Caenorhabditis elegans: one gene and its partner. The protein of the gene in region 1 interacts with the protein of each later gene in a biochemical or structural test. Each region holds a gene or a part of one and is shown on either strand. Other genes may lie near its edges. The genes, in order: mes-6 and mes-2.

Region 1 (4,760 bases):
GAGCTCGTCTTGGGGCTGCAAAATTGTTTTAAAAATGAATCTTCCAATCTGTTAACCTCATAGGTATATTTAAACTATCTAATTGCTGTAATTGTATCTGCTTCACTCATTTTGAGAGATGATAAAATAATTGTTTTTCTTTCAATAAATGAGTCATACCACTAGGCACACACAGTGGCAGACGGAAAATTGGTCACTTCCGGGGGGTGGAACAATAATACCAACAGAAGTTAAATAGTGAATATATTTTTGGCAAGTGTTCACACAAGAATGACTATTTTAATCAAATGTTGGCGATAATCCAAGTAATTAATATAAGGACACAACCCAATTTTCTAAAATTTATTACTAGTACACTTCTTGGCGACAAAGGAGTAAAATCTGTCAAGTGGCACCTTTAGGCAAACAATATTGCGAAAAGCCTTTATACTTCTTTTTGACTACTTTCGCAATCGGTCACGCGTCTGTACAGATTTGATAGGAACTTTGAAGAAAATTGGGCATTTTTCGTTAACAAAAAGCAATAGGAAGAAGAACAGTCAAAAAACAATTTTAACACGGAAATCAGTTGTTCTACGATATTGTAAAAGTTAATAGAAAAAAAAATGATAGTAACAAAATATTTATGAATTTTCGTCTAGATTCTAACAACGAATATATAAATTGAAATGAGAACTTAATTTCCTTTAAAAATTAATTCGATTCACTGTTGGTGGAGTTTAAGGCAGATTTTTTTTTCGAAAAATTGACTGTTTTTTTTAACTCACAGAATCATTGTCAACCCGATTTTCGGTTCTCTCTTTTTCAATACTATGATCATATGATCTATTTAGTTATTATCAATAAATACAGACATAAATAGTTTTTAAAAAAATTATTTTTTAGTTTTTTTTTTCAAGAAATTTCGTAACTTTTATTTTCTCCACAGATAACAAAGCAAACGAAGTTTTTTGCTACGCCTCAATCAATTGTCGACAGTAAATACAAGACGTCTTCTCTGTTTCAGACTCACAAGGTGGCGGTGGTGGTTGCTTCCGGAATCTGTTGTCTCCGTCGTCCAGTTTATTTTGAAACTCTGCCATCATTTCTTTGACGGTCCTAGACGCCGGTGGAGTATCATCAGAATTTTTGCGATGGTTCATGTCATATTTCATACAGGCGATCTGAAAATAACTATAGCTCGTTCGAGATAACATTTTGGCTAAAAAATTGAAGAAAAAACGATAACACTAAAATATTATGAAATTAAGAATTAGTAATGAACGGGAACAGTCACAGCATGAGAAAAAGGCAACCGCTAGAAGAACAGGTTGAAGCAACAAAAAATCACACAAGACGCAGAGAATCAGGCATTGGAGACGCAGGGATATGGATGAGTCAGCAGCCGACGAAGACAAATTCGAAATAGCAAAAATGAAAGAAGTCTACGGAATTCACAAAGTGGATCTTTTGATATAAGGACAATTTTACTAAATAATAAATATGAATGAATACCCCCAAGTTGATCGCTCTGAAATCTGAAAAAGACCACAAAAACATTTTTTTTAACTGACAATAGCTCACGTAGCAATATAGGATCATACAAAAAAAATATACAAAATTATTAGTTTCGCTCCTTGCGAAAAAAGCCGAGTACAAAATCTACTTAATCCCGTTCGAATCCACTCCGAAATTGGAAGTGGTACTTCACGACAATACAAAATTTAAGCTGGCAACTGTCTTTTCTATCATATTCCCAATCGAAATCACAAATACCTCCCGGAACTTTCGAACAGAATCCAAAATGAGAACAAAAAATTGTAATAAAAAAATAACACTTTAAAGGTGCATGAGGTTATGCGCTCGTTGGGTCTCGCCGCGCTTTTCACCACTAATGCAATTTGAACGAGAAATGCGCGCGAGCGGCCATATTTTAGTTTTTCTGTTGTTTTTATTGTCATTTTTTTCCTTTTTCACTGCAAATTTGATAGTTAATCGACTTTTTTATGTTTTTACTGTGAAGTTTTTATTTTGTTATATATTGTTTCTTGCCTTTTTCCCAAAAACCTGAATGGAGCACACGAAAAAGTTCAAATCATTAAATCTTCACGGGTTTGATCGAAGTACAGAGGATTACGGAAAACGACCTTTTGTACTAACTGCCAAGCTACTTGAAGATCAGAAGAAAGCTATTTACGGATGTGCATTCAATCAATACGCAGGAATAGATGAGGAACAAGCGGTTGCAACTGTCGGAGGAAGCTTTGTAAGCGTTATTTAGCAGGAAACTGACAATGAGGTATAAATATTTGTTTTTCAGCTTCACATGTATTCTGTTCCCATCGACATAAATAACATTGAGCTGCAGTGGTCTTGTAATTTTCCTACCGATAAATCATCAAAGGTCGAACGAGAGGAGTCGCTCTTCACTGTTACCTGGTGTTACGACACATATGAAGCTGAAAACGACCGAAATCCCTTTAAAGTTGTAACGGGTGGAACTTTGGGTCACATTTACGTTATCGACTACGTCTCGAGGAAGCTGTCGAATGTAAATAATCAAAAATTACTGAAATAATTTGGAGTTTTAGCGTCTTCGGAGTGTTGGATGGGAAATCAATGACATTCGTACGTGTCCTGCCAACTCAAATCTGATTGTCTGTGCTTCATCAGATCAATCTATCCGGATTCATCATATTCGAAACGAAGCATGTCTGATTGTTATTGGGGGTCTCGAGTGTCATGCTGGAACAATTCTTTCTGTGGTTGGTTTATTAAATTTACTTACGTTTCGAATTTCTCATTTTAGGATTGGTCAACCGACGGAGACTTCATTTTATCGTGTGGATTCGATCATCAACTCATGGAGTGGGATTTATCTGTGAAACAAGTAAAGGAACATTTGGAACGAGCGTGCAAAGCTCTTCACCAAGATAAAATAAATGTGCTAACACAATCACAAGATATTCCGTATGTTTCGAAAGGAACAATGAGGTAAATCAATTATTCAGCTAACATTTTCTAGTTCCTTCTAGTATTTGATCAGTCCTTAACGCGAAAATTGTTGCTGTTGTTGTATATAAAAATATTTTTGAAACTTGAGTTTTGGATAAAAGACTGGTAAATAAAGAGACCAGGGCTATCAAATCATAATGTAATTCATTTTTGTATTTTTAGAAAGTCTGCAGTTTCTCGCAACATTCCCGACAAAGAAGAAGATCAATTGCTCGAACTTCACAGAGAGCTCATACCCCGACCGTACGTTGATTTTCGGCATCCATTACTTTTTTAAAGTTGTTTCAACGAATCTGGTTCTATCGTTTTCTTCTTTTTCAGGAGCTGCCTTCTTCCAATTTATACTCCATCCTCCGTATCAACTGATATGCATTCTGATTATGTGGATTGCATTCGATTTCTTATCGGTACTAACTACGCACTATCAAAAGGATGTGGCAATGAAAAGGCAATTCATTTTTGGAGATTTGGGCCACCTAAGGGAGAAGTTGAAAATCGCATTCATGGAAATGTTCTCCGTCCAAAGTCGTGTACAACGAAATTTCGTACAATGAATGTTCCGAGTGGTTCTGCATGGTTTATCAAATTCGCCGTTGATCCAAGAAGACGATGGCTGGTGTGCGGTGGAGCTGGTGGTTCTGTGATGTTTTTCGATTTGAGAAATAATGAAGAAACCAATCCGTAAGTAAAATATCAAGAAAAATAATTTCTGAGATGTTCGATATCTCTTAAAAATTATAGAAATATTTTTGCTGTGATTACCAGTATAAATTCCTGTTTTTTTTTTTACAGGACTCACACTTGTTCCGTTGGCTCACGTACAGTTCGGCAAGCTTCTTTCTCTACATGTGGCCGATTCCTAGTACTAGTAACTGACGAAGGATTTGTTTGTCGATTTGATCGTGTATCTGCGTCTGTCGACGCTAAGGACCTGGCAAAATTTTGAATATCATTCCTTCTCACCTTCAATTTTTTATATCTCGTTGTGATTTCATCTTCGATCATCTTCAGTGGATTTTACATTACAATTTTGCAGTTCCTAATGTCATCCCCAACCTCCTCTAAGGATTATTCTTCACCTAAACATAGCTTTATGTGTGAGTTTCGAAGAGATTATTTTCGTTTTCTGATTATCTAATTTTTCTAATTCAGTGACAGTCGACAGCAACTTACAAAGTGACAAAAAGAAGACGTTTTTGAATGTTCAGTGAGTTTTGAAAATTTTATTAGCTTTCATGTTATTACCTTTTTTATTTCAGATCATCTTCCTCTGCTGGGTCAACCAAGCACTGTCAAATTCCAATGTCAAAGGACGAGTATTTTGAAACACGCGGGAAACTCGACTCTGTTGATGTTATCGATCAATTCAGACAGCGTCAGCAATGAGCATTTATCGATTTGTCTGTACATGCAGTGTTCCTCACCATTCTCACTCTTGTCTCATTCCCATTCTTCTCTTTTTTTTCAATATTTTTTATTCTTTCCTTATTTTTGTCCGTTTCTATTTCCCGATGCTTGTTAATAAAATGAATTATTTCAGAGTCGCACCTTCTCACGCCAACCAACAAAATGACAACTGGAAACAATGATTTCTACTATTCAAACAAATACGAAGATGATGAGTTCGAGTACCGTCACGTTCATGTCACCAAGGATGTTTCCAAGCTTATCCCAAAAAATCGATTGATGTCCGAAACAGAGTGGAGAAGTCTTGGAATTCAACAGGTAAATATTTAAAATAGGTTTTTTCCTTAAGAAAAAAAGAA
Region 2 (7,140 bases), on another chromosome or scaffold:
GCGGACACGAAGAATCGGTAAGTAAATAGCTTTTATTTTGAATCGTAATGCTTAAATTCCCGTTGATTTTCTTTAGCCCTACCTTCCGGGGCTGTGCGGCTTGTAGAAAAATTGGGTTATCGGCTGAAGCCGACAGCCGCACAGCCCTGCTAACTACTACATATACTCAAAATCCAAATATGAAATTTCAGATCCAAGAAGTCTTGAAAACGTTGCCGGAAGTCCCCTTTACCGTCGAAATCCTGGACAAGTGCAACATCGCATGTCTGATCGATCAATTTGTCCCGAACTTAGCGCCGGCCACCGACTTTGCCAGAAGGATCAGAAAATGGAGGAACGCAAGCATGCAAAGGGAAAAGGCCAAAATTGTAAAGTATTTCACATACGGAACATTGTACGATTTTGGTGGAACATTTGTCCCGGACCATGTTTTGAAGCTTCTCACTGATATGATGTGTTTCGATGATTTGGCTCTTGTAAGTTAAATGGTCACTAATTTCAGCGGGAATTCAAAAACAATTATGGTTTTCAGGTAAAATGTGCCTTCAAACTTCTCGGTGCATTGGAGCTATCACTTGCGGATTTCGAGTACTATAGAGTGCACGAGACTGCTGCTCAGTTCCAGTACAGATTTGTTGAAGCAGACGAGTTGGTGCGAAAAATTGAACAATTGCGACGGGAGCTGTCAGACGAGTCGTTGCTGGATCAAGATGCATGTTTTTTTTCAAAGAAAAGTTTAGGGTAACTATTAATTTTCCATTTTAGATCCCAAATCTCGAAATGGATAATTTCGATCAGACAGAGCTGCTCCCAAAACTTCTCGATAATCTCCACTTGCATGGTGATCAAGAGGAAGGGCACTACAAAATGATGGAGAATTATGAGTGGGCCCTTTGGGAAGTTCTCATGGTGCACCTGGTGCAATCAATTAAGACTGGGAATCGACGAGTGGTGAGTTATAGATTAATTTTTACAATTTAAATTATAATATGATATTTCAGATCACAAGAGCCATAATCCACCACCAAGAGCACCGGTTTCCACTGGCACTTTACAGAAAATACGAGATCCAATCACTGATCCGAGCTCTTCCTCGTAAGATCTCAGCTGCTTCACAACTATTTGATGAGATCGAGCTAATTGAGGAGTCCACATTGAATTCCCAGCATATTGAAGCTTTCCGGGAGGTGAAAAAAGCTGTGAACGGAATGGAAGAAGGAGAAGAAGCATGGCCAGTGCTCATGTCTTTGATGATGGGATTCTTGAAGCAAGACGATGGATTTGTGAGTTTACCTCTGATGTTTTTCTCTATTTTCAAAATAATATTTTTCAGGTTCACGGAGCCGTTGAGTTGCTACTGAATTGCAATATTTCACGGGAGCGATTTGTCGAGTTTGCGGTGGAGAATACTCTACTGAATCTTCCATATCGAACTGAAGAGATCAATGAGCTACTGGTGAAGATTCGGAGCATGGAACCGCGTCAATAATAGATTTAATTTTCTTAAAAATTTTTTTTGTAATTTTTCCAAAGTTCAAATAAAATTGTTCTTGGAATTATTCAGCCTTACTAGTAATAGTTAGTATGCAAAATTTTGCAAATATTACGGTACCCGGTCTCACCAAAACCAATTTTGGTTAAATGCAAAAAGGTGTGTGCCTTTAAAGACATAATTGCAAACTCTCAGGAATTTTCATCGATTTTTTTATAAGTAGGTTTTCCTAAATCCTTTTTTCGAAAATTTATTGATTTTTTTTCTATATTTAATATAAGCTTTTTAATATATTGCGATCGGAAAAAATTCGATGAAAACTCCGCGGCCACGAAAATTTGACTTTTATGTACTTTTTTAAAGGGTGCATATATTTTCGCATTTAACAAAAAATTGCTGTGTTGAGACCTGGCACCGTATTTTTAGCATAAAAATGGCAGAACTTCGCGCCTGGGTAACATATTTTGCAAAAAGCATTTGGTTTTCCTTGTCAGATTCAAATTCCAAACCTTCGCGCCAACTTCACATTATCAATAGGGCGCGATTGCACGCAACACTTGCAATGTTTTTAAAAATTAAAAATTGTTTGTTTTCGATTTATTCTCTCGTCTTTTTCGTCTTAATACAATTTTCTCCCTTTTTAAAACGCAATATTCTTTCAGAATGAGCAACTCAGAGCCCAGCACATCAACTCCCTCAGGAAAAACAAAGAAGCGCGGGAAAAAGTGCGAAACTTCTATGGGAAAATCGAAGAAATCGAAAAATTTGCCTCGCTTTGTGAAAATTCAGCCAATTTTTTCATCTGAAAAAATCAAGGAGACCGTGTGCGAACAAGGAATTGAAGAATGTAAACGTATGCTTAAAGGCCACTTCAATGCTATCAAAGATGACTATGACATTCGAGTAAAAGACGAGCTGGACACAGACATCAAAGATTGGTTGAAGGATGCGAGCAGCAGTGTTAATGAATATCGCAGAAGGCTGCAAGAAAATTTAGGAGAGGGCAGAACTATCGCAAAATTTTCATTCAAAAACTGTGAAAAATACGAAGAAAACGACTACAAAGTCTCCGATTCCACAGTTACATGGATCAAACCGGATCGAACGGAGGAAGGAGATTTGATGAAGAAGTTTCGTGCTCCGTGTTCACGTATCGAGGTTGGCGACATTTCCCCGCCAATGATATACTGGGTTCCAATCGAGCAAAGTGTGGCGACTCCGGATCAGCTGCGGCTCACGCATATGCCGTATTTTGGCGATGGTATTGACGATGGGAATATCTATGAGCATTTGATTGATATGTTCCCAGATGGAATTCATGGATTTTCGGGTGAGAAATTGCAAAATACCGGATTTTTTCCATTTTCTCTGAGAAACCCCCAAAAATCGAAAAAAAAACAGGCGGGACGAAGGTACCATTATTTCTATTTATTTTTACATTTTACATTCAAATTGCCTAATTTCTCACTTTTCAGTGAGAAATCGCCGTAAAATTTTTTTGAAATTTTATTTCAATTAATGTCATTTTGAATGTCAAACACAAAATTAGTTTTAAAAAATAGCCTTGAAAGTGAAAAATGCGAAAAACAAGTTCCCACTTGTCCACGTGTAGTTCTAAATGTTTCATAAATCGACATGCATCAAACCTCGGGACAATCTTGCAAATCCTTAGCTCCAGGTATTTTTTAAGCGAATTGATGTTAAATTTTTCAGACAACTGGTCCTATGTCAATGATTGGATACTCTACAAACTATGCCGTGCTGCGCTCAAAGACTACCAAGGCAGCCCAGACGTATTCTACTACACCCTCTACCGTCTATGGCCAAACAAAAGTTCACAGAGAGAATTTTCGTCGGCTTTTCCCGTTTTGTGCGAGAACTTTGCTGAAAAAGGATTCGATCCGTCGAGCCTCGAACCATGGAAGAAGACAAAAATCGCTGAAGGTGCTCAAAATCTTCGAAATCCGACGTGTTACGCGTGCCTCGCATATACATGTGCGATTCACGGATTCAAAGCCGAAATTCCAATCGAGTTTCCGAATGGTGAATTCTATAATGCGATGCTTCCGCTGCCAAATAACCCGGAAAATGATGGAAAGATGTGTTCTGGAAATTGCTGGAAATCGGTGACGATGAAAGAAGTTTCAGAAGTTCTTGTGCCGGATTCTGAAGAAATTCTGCAGAAAGAAGTGAAGATTTATTTCATGAAATCAAGAATTGCAAAGATGCCGATTGAAGATGGAGCGCTCATTGTGAACATTTACGTGTTCAATACATATATTGTAAGAGTACGCGATTTTTGCGCCAAAACCTGGCCTCGACGCGACAAATTTTTGTTAAATGCGAAAAGGCGTGCGTCTTTGAAGAGTACTGTAATTTTAAATTTTCAATAATTTTTCTAACAAGGGAAGAGTTCAAAAACTATTCCTGAATTCGGAATAAAAATAGTGTCATGCGATAGTTGGAGGTCTGAGATGATCCCTCCGAAACATTTTTATTGAAAAATTATATTTCCAGTGAAATTAATTTCTCGCAAGTTTTCTCTTTTTTTTAAAGCTATAAAGCTTGATTTTGCACCTTTTTCGTTATTTTGTTTTTCATTTTGCGTTTAAGAGTTTGTATATTATGTAAATCAAACTATTTTAAACAAAAAATAGCGAAAAATAGGAAAAAAGGGTGCAAAATCGAGCTTTATAGCTTAAAATGCAAAAAATCCATTCTCAGCCATTCTGCGAGTTTGTCAAAAAATATGTCGACGAAGACGACGAGGAAAGCAAAATTCGTTCATGTCGTGACGCATATCATCTAATGATGTCGATGGCAGAAAATGTGAGCGCCCGACGACTTAAAATGGGACAACCGTCGAATAGATTGTCAGTTGACGCGATTTTTTATATAAAAAATTGAATTGTTTCAGAAGTATCAAGGATCGAGTCAACAACTTCCGTCGTAATCAGTTGAGTCAGGAGAAGGCGAAGCGTAAGCTGCGTCACGACAGTCTGCGTATTCAAGCATTGAGAGATGGTCTGGATGCGGAAAAATTGATTCGAGAAGATGATATGCGTGATTCTCAGCGAAATAGCGAGAAAGTTCGCATGACCGCGGTGACGCCAATCACAGCGTGTCGACATGCGGGTGAGGAATGGAAAACAATTATGGGGTTATTCGTGAAATGTAGAAAAATGCAATAATTTGTTTTTATACATTTTTCACCTACCCATGTGCATCGAACAATGTAGCATTAATTTTTTGCATTTTTCGACATTTTTCGGCATTTCCTGCATTTTTCGACATTGGGCGACATCCCACTTCTCATGCTGAAGGCGAGACACGCAGAGAAAACCCGCGGGTGCATATCTCTCTGCGTCTCTCGCCTTCAGCATGTGAAGTGGGCTGTCGACCGATGTCGAAAAATGCAGAAAACGAATATTTTTTTGTATTTATTGGACACACATGTATTTATTGGACACAAATGAATGAAAACACATTTTTGCACATTTTACTACATCGCATTAATAACCCCATTAATTGAAAATTAATTTTTAAACATTTCAGGCCCATGCAACGCGACAGCCGAAAATTGTGCATGTCGTGAAAACGGAGTGTGCTCGTACATGTGCAAATGCGATATAAACTGTTCTCAGCGATTCCCGGGATGCAATTGCGCCGCCGGTCAGTGCTACACGAAGGCTTGCCAGTGCTATCGAGCCAATTGGGAATGTAATCCGATGACGTGTAATATGTGCAAGTGAGTGCACAGGAATTTTTTGAAAAGTTTTTTTAGTAAGCTTTAATTTTTCAGAACTTCCAGAAATGGAAATTTTAAGAAAGGAAAAAATTAAACTTTCCAAAAAAAATTGATCGAACTGAAAATTTCTCGAAAAAGAAGGACCAAATGTCCATTAAAAATCTTCAATCAAAATCCCAAATTTAAAAAAAGGTATATAAAATCAAAATAGCACAGAAAAATCGAATTTTGTACCTGAAAATTCTCAATTTAAAAACAAATTCAGATGCGACGCCATCGACTCGAACATAATAAAATGCCGCAATTTTGGAATGACTAGAATGATCCAAAAACGAACGTATTGCGGGCCATCGAAAATAGCAGGCAATGGACTTTTCTTGTTGGAACCCGCCGAAAAAGACGAGTTCATTACGGAATACACTGGTGAACGAATTTCCGATGATGAAGCCGAACGACGCGGTGCGATATATGATCGATATCAGTGCAGCTACATTTTTAGTATGTACTTTTTTTAGATCACGGTGTCGCAGAAAAATGTTTTAAATTTAAATTTTTTTTGGGTTTTTAGAGACAACATTTCGATTTTTTGAAAATCAAATAAATAAGAAAAAATTATTTCAAAAAATTAACAAAATATCGAAAAAAAAAACCATCAAAAGTTTTCTTTTTTTTTGAAAATTCAATTTTTCGGAACAAAAAAAAATATTTTTGCAGACATTGAAACCGGGGGTGCGATCGATTCGTACAAAATTGGAAACTTGGCACGATTTGCCAATCATGACAGCAAGAATCCGACGTGCTACGCGAGAACGATGGTTGTCGCCGGAGAGCACCGAATTGGGTTCTATGCGAAGAGACGGCTTGAGATTAGTGAAGAGCTCACATTTGACTACAGTTATTCTGGAGAACATCAGATAGCGTTCAGGTAGATTTTGCAAAAAGCTTTTCGGGTCTCGAGACGACTGCAGCTACCGTACCCTCTAGTTTTTTCCACTCAATTTTTAAAAATTTATAACACAAAGATTTTTTTGGATCAAAAAAATCATGATAAGCCGTAGAAAATTGTGGTTGGTTACGGTAGCTGCAAATTTTCGGTCGCTTCGAGAACCAGTTTTGTGTAGACTTTCAACTTGACTTTTTGAATAAACTTTTTCCAGGATGGTCCAAACCAAGGAGAGATCCGAGAAGCCCAGCAGGCCCAAAAGCCAGAAACTCTCCAAACCAATGACTTCTGAATAATCTTTTTTCTTGACTTTTTTTCTTAAATTTTTCCCGTTGATATCACTTTCAAATCTCAAGATCTACTTGTTTAACTGTTATTTCCCTAGAATCTCATGTTTCTGAATACATTTTCCTTCCTTCAAATTTCTGAAAACCATAAATATAATCGAATCAAAATTCCTCCTATAAAATCGCCCGACACAGCACAATTTTTTCACTTCTTCCTTAAAGATGGTGATTTTCTTCTTATTTTTCTTATTTCCCATGCTGCTGGAGGCTTCGGAAACGTAAGTTGGATTTTTTTCTGCAGGAAAATCTGAAAATGACAAAAATTCCAGTAGCAGAAGCTTAATCGAACCACCGGCCGTAATTCCTGAGAAACTCAAAACATTTTGCCAGATCGATCCAACGTACGAGATTTGCGTGAAGCTTGGCATTCCGAAAGCTGCGAGAAAGTTTGCAGCGAGATCCAAAATCCAGGGAAGACAGAGAAAAGGCGTCGATTGTAGGCAGGCCCCATTGCATCCGGGTTGTCAGAGATAAAAATGTTCCAAATATTATAGAAAAATTCCAATTATAGAAATGTGTACCTGGACAAGTTCATCGCGTGGAAAATTCATCACGATTGCGAGGTGAATCCAAATGGAGAATTTTGCCCGAAAACTTTGAATCGGAGAGC

What was found.
Region 2: the proteins of mes-6 (region 1) and mes-2 form a complex in vitro, tested with the Caenorhabditis elegans proteins (2 studies listed by BioGRID, with this or other methods).

Annotation. Positions count from the first base shown.
Region 1 is NC_003282.8:8,509,387-8,514,146, forward strand, and holds mes-6 (Polycomb protein mes-6), read left to right. Parts: upstream 1-1,897; 5' UTR 1,898-2,050; coding exon 2,051-2,245; intron 2,246-2,299; coding exon 2,300-2,530; intron 2,531-2,570; coding exon 2,571-2,744; intron 2,745-2,788; coding exon 2,789-2,973; intron 2,974-3,156; coding exon 3,157-3,237; intron 3,238-3,315; coding exon 3,316-3,675; intron 3,676-3,786; coding exon 3,787-3,940; 3' UTR 3,941-4,036; downstream 4,037-4,760. Other genes in the region: FYVE, RhoGEF and PH domain-containing protein tag-77, read right to left, coding at 1-15, 1,013-1,154; C09G4.4 (uncharacterized protein), read left to right, coding at 4,037-4,091, 4,147-4,201, 4,254-4,380; cks-1 (Cyclin-dependent kinases regulatory subunit), read left to right, coding at 4,564-4,719. UniProt on the Caenorhabditis elegans protein: Polycomb group (PcG) protein. PcG proteins act by forming multiprotein complexes, which are required to maintain the transcriptionally repressive state of homeotic genes throughout development.
Region 2 is NC_003280.10:14,381,821-14,388,960, forward strand, and holds mes-2 (Histone-lysine N-methyltransferase mes-2), read left to right. Parts: upstream 1-2,152; 5' UTR 2,153-2,155; coding exon 2,156-2,822; intron 2,823-3,205; coding exon 3,206-3,774; intron 3,775-4,216; coding exon 4,217-4,365; intron 4,366-4,409; coding exon 4,410-4,627; intron 4,628-5,047; coding exon 5,048-5,240; intron 5,241-5,505; coding exon 5,506-5,738; intron 5,739-5,954; coding exon 5,955-6,165; intron 6,166-6,397; coding exon 6,398-6,479; 3' UTR 6,480-6,634; downstream 6,635-7,140. Other genes in the region: sdz-26 (SKN-1 Dependent Zygotic transcript), read left to right, coding at 1-17, 192-476, 533-712, 766-951, 1,002-1,283, 1,334-1,489; F26H11.8 (uncharacterized protein), read left to right, coding at 6,693-6,748, 6,800-7,004. UniProt on the Caenorhabditis elegans protein: Polycomb group (PcG) protein. Catalytic subunit of a the mes-2/mes-3/mes-6 complex, which methylates 'Lys-27' of histone H3, leading to transcriptional repression of the affected target genes.